Linked DNA regions of Tribolium castaneum. Each later gene encodes a partner of the first gene's protein in a complex. Links are inferred from orthologs where the notes say so. Each region holds a gene or a part of one and is shown in the gene's direction. Other genes may lie near its edges.

What was found. The genes of interacting proteins can lie anywhere in the genome.
Region 2: the proteins of NEDD8-conjugating enzyme UBE2F (region 1) and SCCRO3 are in contact, whole or in part, in a crystal structure (PDB 4GBA), measured with the Homo sapiens proteins. The link is inferred for Tribolium castaneum from reciprocal best matches to the Homo sapiens genes UBE2F and DCUN1D3. Residues at the interface, in NP_001265234.1 of Homo sapiens: Leu2, Thr3, Leu4, Lys7, Leu8; in NP_775746.1 of Homo sapiens: Glu108, Glu109, Glu112, Pro122, Thr123, Glu124, Met139, Cys140, Glu194, Ile204, Ala207, Leu208.
Region 3: the proteins of NEDD8-conjugating enzyme UBE2F (region 1) and Uba3 are in contact, whole or in part, in a crystal structure (PDB 3FN1), measured with the Homo sapiens proteins. The link is inferred for Tribolium castaneum from reciprocal best matches to the Homo sapiens genes UBE2F and UBA3. Residues at the interface, in NP_001265234.1 of Homo sapiens: Thr27, Arg28, Arg29, Val30, Asp34, Lys35, Val38, Lys39, Val41, Ala42, Glu45, Val54, His55, Phe56, Pro57, Asp58, Pro59, Asn60, Leu62; in NP_003959.3 of Homo sapiens: Ala401, Thr403, Thr405, Leu406, Glu407, Gly408, Asn410, Arg411, Thr412, Ser417, Val418, Thr419, Ser420, Ile421, Arg424, Thr425, Gln442, Glu443, Ala445, Ala447, Asp448, Val449, Thr451, Pro452, Gln453, Thr454, Leu456.

The regions. Positions count from the first base shown.
Region 1 is NC_087403.1:3,757,147-3,759,698, forward strand, and holds NEDD8-conjugating enzyme UBE2F, read left to right. Parts: upstream 1-1,106; 5' UTR 1,107-1,217; coding exon 1,218-1,475; intron 1,476-1,523; coding exon 1,524-1,685; intron 1,686-1,728; coding exon 1,729-1,845; 3' UTR 1,846-1,998; downstream 1,999-2,552. Other genes in the region: rb (AP-3 complex subunit beta-2), read right to left, coding at 2,194-2,332, 2,377-2,552. UniProt on the Homo sapiens protein: Accepts the ubiquitin-like protein NEDD8 from the UBA3-NAE1 E1 complex and catalyzes its covalent attachment to other proteins. Together with the E3 ubiquitin ligase RNF7/RBX2, specifically neddylates cullin-5 (CUL5).
Region 2 is NC_087399.1:5,918,398-5,922,154, reverse strand, and holds the start of SCCRO3 (DCN1-like protein 3), read left to right. Parts: upstream 1-1,333; 5' UTR 1,334-1,652; intron 1,653-1,706; 5' UTR 1,707-1,785; coding exon 1,786-1,861; intron 1,862-3,757. Other genes in the region: tudor domain-containing protein 1, read left to right, coding at 1-463, 521-777, 823-935, 982-1,123. UniProt on the Homo sapiens protein: Contributes to the neddylation of all cullins by transferring NEDD8 from N-terminally acetylated NEDD8-conjugating E2s enzyme to different cullin C-terminal domain-RBX complexes and may play a role in the cell cycle progression by regulating the SCF ubiquitin E3 ligase complex, after UV damage.
Region 3 is NC_087400.1:1,389,442-1,393,198, forward strand, and holds Uba3 (nedd8-activating enzyme E1 catalytic subunit), read left to right. Parts: upstream 1-939; 5' UTR 940-1,058; coding exon 1,059-1,578; intron 1,579-2,625; coding exon 2,626-3,431; 3' UTR 3,432-3,469; downstream 3,470-3,757. Other genes in the region: coronin-2B, read right to left, coding at 611-718. UniProt on the Homo sapiens protein: Catalytic subunit of the dimeric UBA3-NAE1 E1 enzyme. E1 activates NEDD8 by first adenylating its C-terminal glycine residue with ATP, thereafter linking this residue to the side chain of the catalytic cysteine, yielding a NEDD8-UBA3 thioester and free AMP.

The DNA.
Region 1 (2,552 bases):
AAAAATTTAAAATAACATACTGTCAATTGGGCTATCAGTATTACGTGTCACAAATCAAATTTTGTGAACATTTCTTTGCAAATTATCTACAATTTAAATGTATATACAAAACAATAAAAAAACCTTTATTGTAATGTGACATTTGCCTGTAATTTTAGATTCTTCAAAAAAATTTTGTGATTTTCGTATGGCAAGCTTTTAAAAATAAGTCATGTTACAATATTATGATAAAATTTTAAGCGTCATTATTCGCATTTTTGTATTTTTACGTTAATAATTTGATAACTTAATTAGGGCCATTTATCCAAATATTTCACTTGGGTGGCGCACCTGTTACGTATTGCTGATTATAACCGATTTACCTGTTAGGAATCTTCATGAAAATATTTTATCAGTCTACATACTATCAGAATGAATAAAAGGGGTATCAGCGTTGCGGCAGTTACATGCTTATAAGTCGTATACTCGCGAAGAAAATGGGTTGTGTCTCATCAAAACAGTCTAAAAAAGATGCCAAGAAGGTTCGAGGTAGGGAAGACAATCGTGGGCGTCTTTCGGTGATTTGGGAGTACGTAAAAAATTCAAATAAGTACTTATATTTTTTAACATAAATTTTCTATTCAGGGAGTTAAGCTCTGCTGAGGTCCTCAACCTTGCCAAAACAGACCCGGAGGTCTACCAAATTTGTTTAAGAGATAATATCATAAGACCACCCTGCCGTAGAAGAAGCCTGTGGAAGATGTTTGGTAACGAAGCCGCTCAAGTACGCCCCAAAAAGTAAACACAAATGTATCTTTTATTTACGCAATAAACTATTTTTACTCATTTAATAAATCATTCATGTGGGTCTCTCCTTCCTTAGTAAAAAAATCCAAAACATTGGAAATAAAAATTTGATTTACAAGGTCAAGTCTTGTAGTATTTGGGTGGAAACTTTTTAAATAACCATGGTACATATACGTGTTATAAAACACAATTAGACCACCCCAAATTTGAGTTTTTTCTATTAACCAAAATTATGTTAAAGTAACAGTTGATAGTATTTTCGCCTTATTTCGTTTAAACAATTTGAAAAAAAATTCGGTTCGAAGATCTTTCGGTCCGGGTCACTCTCGTTGACAGCGGCGCTGTCAGTTACCTAACCAAAAATTTATATCAAAATTAAACATAAACAATGCGATGATTTTCATTGTGTTTCAATAATAATTTGTAGAATCATGATTACGCTATCCCAACGCTTGAAAAAACAGCAAGAAGACCGTTCTTCTAACACGAACCGAATTTCAATCAGGGACAAACTACTAATTAAAGAATCACAAGAAATGGCCCAACTTTTGCCCAGTAATTGTTCAGTTTTCTACGAGAATGAGAACGATTTGAGCAAGTTCATTTTAACCGTGAGACCCACGGAGGGCCTTTGGGAGGGTGGTACTTTTAGATTTGCTATTAACGTTACCGAAGAGTATAACATGGTTGTAAGTATTGCCACCGAGTTGCGATCGGCGGTTGAGTCTCGTTTGCAGCCTCCCACTGTCAGATGCCTCACGCGTTTGTGGCACCCTAACATAACCGAAGTCGGCGAAGTGTGCCTATCGCTCCTGAGGCAGCACAGCATGGACGGGCTGGGCTGGTCGCCCATTAGGAGATTAAACGACGTCGTCTGGGGCCTACACGCCTTATTTACGGTATTTATCGGATCGTTTGGACACGGTTGACGTTTTGTTTCAGGATTTGTTAAATTTTGACGATCCTTTAAATATAGAAGCTTCGGATATGTATAGAAACTCTAAGGAGGAATTTAGAATGAAAGTGAATGAGTACGTTATGCTGTATGCTAAAGATTAATCGTTGTAGAGTCGTCGATATTACTGTTTGTCCGCTTTCACGAGTGTGAATACTCCATTTCCTTTTTTTGTAAAAAGTTATCGTAAAGTTTGTCCACAAGTGAGCAACTCTTCACTTTGGGTAAAGTTTACCACAATATATTTATATGAATTACCGCTGTTTCAATCCAAACACACACTTCTCATAAATATTTATTTGAAAGGATAAAAAAGAAAAGTGATAACTAGGTGGCAAATACATCCAACATAATATTCACGCAAAAGGAAGCTCGGCGTTTAGCAAGTGCACATTATGTTCAAGTATTTCCCGTTACAAACAAGTACAATACATCAAATACGCTGAAGCAACTTATGACTTGAGATTATGTAGCAGTTCGTTGAGCATAACGGACCCAAAGACCATGTTCTCGCAATTGACAGTGACCACCTCCTGCTTGGTTATTGTGACCAGAACGAAGTTCGACGATTTCAGCGTTTGGCCCGCGAACCTGTAAACGAGACTAATCACTCGCCACACAAAAGCGGGCGTTACCTCAGGCTGTCGCTCGCTGGGTCGCACACGCCCAAGTTGCTGCATTCGGTGACTCTTTCGACGATGTTAGAGACGCACTTCACTTTGCCGATATGTTCGTTCATGCCGCCCAACTTCGACTGCTTTTCCTGGAATGTGGGGGTGTCCATCCGGACGGGGCGCACCAGCTCGCCTAT
Region 2 (3,757 bases), on another chromosome or scaffold:
GAGACGATTTTTGTATGCAAGGAGGGAAATTCGTATGGAATTGATCTCTTGAATGAGGAGAAATTTGGGAAGAAAACGTTGGGTCAGATTTTGGTCGACTCCGAACTTGCCCTCCAAGTGGACATTTCAGACGGACTTGAAGCATTAGAGGATGAAGATTTCGAAGAGTATGAAAACATCAACGAGGCCATAACTGGATACGATGCCAAAGATGAAGCAAGACTTTGCCCCTTCACTAATGCGGCAGGGGGCTGTTTTAAAGGGGCAAGGTGTAAGCTAGAACACGGCGTTTTGGCGAAAGATGGCGTCACGACGGATAAAGTTTTGACGATGAATCAAGCGTTCACTGTGACGCCTTTGCCCCCCAAAGGCCAGTGTGTCGACGTTTTGGTAACGGGGTACATAAGCACCTGCCGTTTTTACGCACAAATTGTCACAGCACCGTCCAAGACTTCGAATTTTAGTAAGTTTACTAAAACGGGCGCAATATTTTATAGAGTGGTTAATTTTGTCATTCCAGATGCAAACTTCCAGAGGCTGAGAGAGAGCATGAACTCGAATAATATAGTCCACACTTACGAGCCATTTAAATTGTATCCCGGCCTCGGGGAGGTTGTTTTGATCAAAGAAAACTCGGAATGGTTTCGGGGGATTTGCGTTGGCTTAGCCGAAAACGACAAGATTGAGGTTTTCTTTGTGGATTTTGGTTACAAAAGAGAGAAAAAACTGAAAGATCTTAGACAAATGAAAGAAGATCTTCTTTATGTGCCATTCCAAGTTAGTCATTGCTGTCTTGTTTTTGTTTTGATAGTTTTGTTTCAGGCGGTTGAATGTATGTTGGAGGGCTGTCAGGAGAAGAAAGATGCCCCAAAAAATGCCTCCCAAACATTTTTCGACTCGTGCATGAATTTAAAAGTTTTTAAGGCTCTAGTTGTGTAAGTTGAGCGGTTGTCTAAGAGGCAAGAAATAATTTTATTGTAGTGAATCAGAGGAACCCCTGAGACTGTCTATGTGGGACTCTGAAGGCATGGAGATGGGCTACGTTCTGAAAACGTGCGGGTTAGGAGAGGACCGCAAGAAAGATGTTTTCCCAACCAAAGACTGTTATTTAAGTTGCAATTGATTTTTCCATGACTGTTTAGAGTGTATTTTAATTTATTTTATTAAAGACAATTCAATTTTTGAATCTTGTGTTTGATTAAGCCTAACGTCACGACTGTCGGTAATGCAGGTCACGACATTGGGGGGCTTCAAAATTTTTAAATTTATGTTATGGGGGCACTACACGTTGACAATTTTTCTTTAGTCAACAATTTCATGTTTAAAAAAGTCGCGTTTGTGAAGAGGGCGCCCCGGGGCCCCGGTTTGATTACTTGACAACCGAGATGGCGTGAAAGTAGCCGCAAATCAGCTGCATCTGTCAAATCAACAGATGTATTGTAGTTTGCCCCCTGGAAGAGCGGACTTTTAGCCCCCTTGCGCCCCATCAGCCCGCTTGTATGCCTGTGCCTAGTGCGTGCGTGCAACCACCGCCAAAAATGACAATTCTCCCTCCCAGAATTCGCCAAGTGTCATAATGAAAATTCCGTCGAAAAACTCGTCGAAATTTGTGAATTGGTCGCGTAAATAGTGGTAGAATAGAAATTTCTTACGTTAGTAGTCGCCCGCCAGTGGTGTTTTTCCATGTTGACGGTTGGTTTTTGTAGGATTTGATGGTAAAGTCAGCATAGGCAATGCAAGAGTGTTTTTTGAAAATCCTCGCGAGGTTTCGTTTGGGCCCTTCCAATGGGCAATTGCCTGGCGTGCTTCAAGGAGCCCAACAGTACGGCCCTGGACAACTCGCCCAATTGCCGTAAAGAAGGTGGGTTGCAAGTTTGATTCAAAAAATTTATGGAGACACATGGTATTGCTCGACTTGCAGCTACGATTCCTTTTATTGCGACTTGGGTCGTTAAGTTTAGTGCGAACATCTGGCCGCAAACGGCTGCCTTTTAAGGACAATTCTGATTTCTAGCCAGCAAGAATTGGGTGATGTTTGTTCATAAAAATTACTTCATTAGTATTGGCATTTACTTCACCCATCCATATTCATAAAAAGCTGTTTATTCTTATGACCAAGTACTTAGATCACTTAAGTAGCTACTAATTTGCTCGTTTGGTTACTGCCAGACTTGTAAAAATTCCACTATTATTATTATTTTTACGTTCAAATTGCAAATCAGTCAGAAATGCAGGGTTCTCTATTTCTCTAGATTTTTGAAGTGTCAAGTTGGAAAAAAAAGCAGCATTATAAATCGGCACGGAGTCACTCAAACTGTCCCGAAATCGACAAATAATTGACTGAAAAATTCGAACATGTGAAGCATTATTAACTAACGCCGATAGTTTTTGTGTTATTGATCCTATTTTGTGTGAATTTTAAAAATATTAAATCAACTTTTTGTGAGCCGTTGAATCACTTGGAATACTCTGGAACTGACAAAATTCTAAGTACACGAATTCGAACATCCAGAGTTTTCATCTGAGACTGTTACGTTTCGAGTTGTTATTTTTTTTCTAGAAAAAATTTATATCTGCAAACAATTTCAACATCTCCAACACGGCTGTCCCAAGGAAAAACAAGCAGTCAACAATTTTTTTAATATGTTTTTTACATATTTTGCCTTATTTTTACGTTTAGATTTATTTGAATACTCATCATTAACAATTATTTGTCTAAATTAATAAACAAAATTGTTTTCTTCATATACTATACTCTAACAACAGTTCAATGTAAAACACCATATCTACAAAATACCTTAGAGACAGGTAGATTTAAATGCAAATTTGGTTGGCATTTTGCTTTGGACATCATAGTTCCAAAAAAGTTTTCAAATATCGTTTATTTTTTATTGTAAAAAATGTTTTTCTATACATGAAATTCTACGTAGTTAAAGTGAGACTATAGTAGCAGTTTTCAAGATATCAATGTTTTTGGAATGTTTCTAAAGCGTTTGTAAGTGAAATTTTTGAAATGACTGAAATCGCCGAAAAATCATCCGATAAATTCTGTTACTTACAGCCGACAGTTCTCAGCTTATTAACTTAACACAAAAATTGCGTTCTTGGTAAAATAATTTAAAATTAAATAAATCGCCTATCTCCATCAGGAAATGATGGCATAAACTAGTGCACACTTTCTGCTAAAAACCGCTACATATATAACATGAGATCGAAAATATACTCAATTAGAGCAGGCCTTGAAAGTGAAGTGTAACTTTAGCCACATCATATGTCATAACTTCAAAAGTGTGGCTAAAGTGAGAATAAACGGCTAAAGTTCGGCAGGCACAGCTTGCTCTAATTGAATATATTTTCGATCTCATGTTATTATGATGTTACGATCGGTCTAGCTTTAAAAATTTTTCTCAAGTTCTTGGTACGGCAGACACAGCGTCGATTAGTAAATTGAGTTTTCTGCAGAAATATAAGATTACGAATAGCTAAGTATGCTTATTTTTGCTAATAACTTCTCTAGTTTATAAATATCGGCATAAACAGAGACTTATTTCTTTATAATTTTTAAGCATATCTGAATACCAAGTAAGTACTAATATCGACTTCATTACTGCACAAGTACATAGTTAAAATTGTATGAATATCGATGTAAAAATATACTTAGGGGGTTCAAATTTAATGTAAACCGTAATTTTATTATAACTTTTGACTAAAACAAAATTTTGACGAAACTCTTTACACTATTTTTCCAAAAGAGAGA
Region 3 (3,757 bases), on another chromosome or scaffold:
GTTTCGCCTCCTAGTATATAGTTCTCCATAGTCCAAAATAATTATTAAAAATTGTAAACAATGATAAAAAAGTGTGAAATCATCTAAAATACGAGCAAATAACTACATTAATTATAAAAAACATCATTCATGTCAAATTAGAGGTTGGGTAATTTTGAAGATAGAAATCTACTTTGAACGTGCTTTACCGTAACACCATTGCTATCTACAAATTTATTGGTCTCGAGTCAGTTTTTTATACAAATCGATAAATTTAATAAAATAAAAAATATATTGACAATTGAACAAAAAAAAATTTTCAAAAATTAAAAGAATAAAAAAAGAGTAAAAAGATTTTTTCAGAAAAAAACGTGGTTTAATTTAAAAACACCGTTTTCGACCAAAAGGTGGATATTTGAAACGTTGACATTGCAAACGTCAAACAAGCCAGTGTGACCACAGGCCTGCCAACTCAAACAGTGACTCTTGACCACTCTGTATAACATAACGACAGTTTTCCATTTGTGATTAAATATTTACATTAAATAATCAATTTAATTACCTACCACACATGTAACACCTGATAACGTCCCAAAACCGGGCTAATAGTAGTAATTAAAAAAAATCTTACCCTTTTTGAGGGTTTGCTGCAAGAGCGGTTATCCACAAAATTAATTATTTTATCTCCGGTTGCTGGCAACAGAGAATTCCCAACATTGCTTTCCGTTTCTCCAGTCATAATAAATGAATTACATAAAAAACCCAACAATTTTGTACTGATTTTAAATAAAAAATTCAATAAAACAATAAATCACAACGTAACTTTTTTGACATTTGTTTGACAGCGATCAACGCGTTGTTACGTCACGAAGTGGCTAACGCTACGATCTTTAACTTATTTCCGACTATTTTATGGCATTGAGGAGAATAATAATTATAATTAGCACCAATTGCAGTGCATAATTAGTACGTAATTAAAATTCCTGCCTTTGTGCCTGGCTTTTTGCGTGAAATAACTAAACGAGTTGGCGCGTTAGTCACTTCCTTTCTGACAGTTCCAATTTTAAAAACGGTTAAAAATGAGCGAAACGCAAGAACAGAAGCGCTGGGGGCACCTGCGCAAGGTGCTGGAGCGTCCGGGCCCCTTTTGCCACCCGGAGTTCGAGCCGTCACCCGAAATCATGGATTTTATCGTAACCTCCTGCAAGGTGCTTGTCGTGGGGGCCGGGGGCCTGGGCTGCGAACTGTTGAAGGACTTGGCTTTGATGGGGTTCAAGCAGATCCACGTCATCGACATGGACACGATCGACTTGTCGAATTTGAACCGCCAGTTTCTGTTCAGACAGAAGGACATTGGGCAGTCCAAGGCCAAAGTGGCGGCGGCTTTCATCAACAAGCGCGTGCCTGGGTGCCAGGTGACGCCCCATTTTTGCAAAATACAAGACTACGATGAGAGTTTTTATCGGAGTTTTCACATTATGGTGTGCGGGTTGGACTCGATCGTGGCCAGGAGGTGGATTAATGGCATGATTTTGTCGCTCTTGAGCTACGAGGATGGGGTGCTGGATAATTCGACCATTATTCCATTGGTGGATGGAGGTTTGTGCCGAAACGTGGGGGCTGAGACAAAAAACGCGCCTTTTTTCGCAGATGGCGCTGTTTCAAAATATCAGCGCCTTCTTGTTTCAGACGCTAAAGTTATTTCTCTCACAAAAAATTGTGTTATTTTAGTTTTTTTTCCATTTTGATATTTTTATTGACATTTATCTTTATCTAACAAACTATTCGGAAATAAAATTACCGTTGGGGGCGCCACTGAGCTAGGTCGAAAACAGTAACCATAAATGGCGGGAAAATGTTTATTCGGATATTTTGAGCGTTGTACGAATTTTGGGGCTTCACAATTATTCCATTGCCTATGCGGAATGATTATTGCATCTTTGATGCAAGAAACTTATGTTGACAAATGAGAGATGACGAGGAAAACACGAATAACGAATGACTGTTTGGTTCACTTTCTTTATTGGAAAATTATTACAAAGACATTGAAAAACCTACCTTTTGGCATAATTTACGTTTAAATGTATCAGCAGTTGTTAATCTTTATTGTAGTTTTGTACATTTACTGCAGCATTTCATGATTTTTTCAGTGGAAAATTCTAATCTAAAATTCATAACACTTCACTAATTTATTGGTTTCTTGAGCCAAACTTTGTGTTCGCTGTGATTTATTACTTATAATCTTTAATTAGACAACTGTTTGATAACACTTTGTAATCAAAATTTAAATATTTTTCACTTTTTATCCACTTTCAAGTTCCAACAATAAACACTTTATACCATGAAAAACTACAGAACCAAAGTCAACGCTAGTATTTACCACCACGTACTTTTAAAGTAATTCTTTCTATTGTAAGTAATTAACACTATACACGCAAAATTGTTGAACAATTCATTAAATGTCAGTTAAATGTGGCATTACGAAAATTTCTTTACTGTCTTCGACATAGTTCAAAAGTCATCACCAGAGGGCGTCTAGTTAATTTTATTTCCGAATAATTCTTCTTGTTTACAGCGCCATCTGAACTGTGCTGTGGCGCCAAAATTTAAAAAAATATATATAATTGAGTAATAATTTATTTCCAGGTACTGAGGGTTTTAAGGGCAACGCCCGCGTCATAGTCCCTGGCAACAACGCCTGTGTTGAGTGCACCCTTGACTTGTACCCCCCTCAGATCACCTACCCTTTGTGCACAATCGCCAACACACCCCGCCTGCCTGAACACTGCATTGAATACGTAAAGGTGGTTTTGTGGCCCAAGGAGAACCCCTTTAATGCGCCCCTGGACGGAGACGACTCCCAGCACATTGGCTGGGTTTACGAAAAGTCCCTGGAAAGGGCGTCCCAGTTCAATATCCCTGGAGTGACTTACCGCCTTGTTCAAGGCGTCGTAAAGCACATTATTCCAGCAGTGGCGTCAACTAACGCCGTTATTGCCGGAGTTTGCGCCACAGAAGTGTTTAAAATCGCAACGAGTTGTTGTCTACCGTTGAATAATTACATGGTTTTCAATGACGTGGACGGGATTTACACTTACACTTACGCAGCGGAACGGAGGGACAATTGTGTGGTTTGCTCCCAAGTGCCGCAAACTCTACCGATTGAGGATCCGAGTAAAGTCAAGCTGAAGGATTTGATTAAAATCCTGTGTGAGGATGAGATGTTTCAAATGAAAAATCCAGGTTTAACCACGGTTATTGATGGGAAAAATAAGACTTTGTACATTTCCACGATTAAGAGTATAGAGGAGAGGACCAGGGATAATTTAAATAAGACTTTAGTTGAGTTGGGGCTTAAGGATGGCATGGATATCATGGTCGCAGATGCTACGTCTCCCATGACGTTGGTTTTCACACTTAAGTTTGCAACGAGCGATGTTGAGATGAAGTAATTGTGTTATTTATTTTTAATAAAGAAAATTACAAACTGGGTTTTGTTTCATTTTAACGGTTATTTTGGCCCTTGAAATGTTTATTGTTTGATTTTTTTAAGTTCTAACCACTCTATCAATTTTGATATTGAAAAAAACACTTTATATCTTTATATCTTTTTTTTGGTATTATTGCTTAAAATTTGGTCGGAATTTTGACTTAGGCCTTATTATAGCTTCGCCGTAATCGGCCGTAGGGCGTTTTTCTCAGAAAATATGACTCGGCGAAGATAAAAACCATCAGAATGAATAAATAAATATTAAAATTTAGTTTTTGCCGGGAGTTT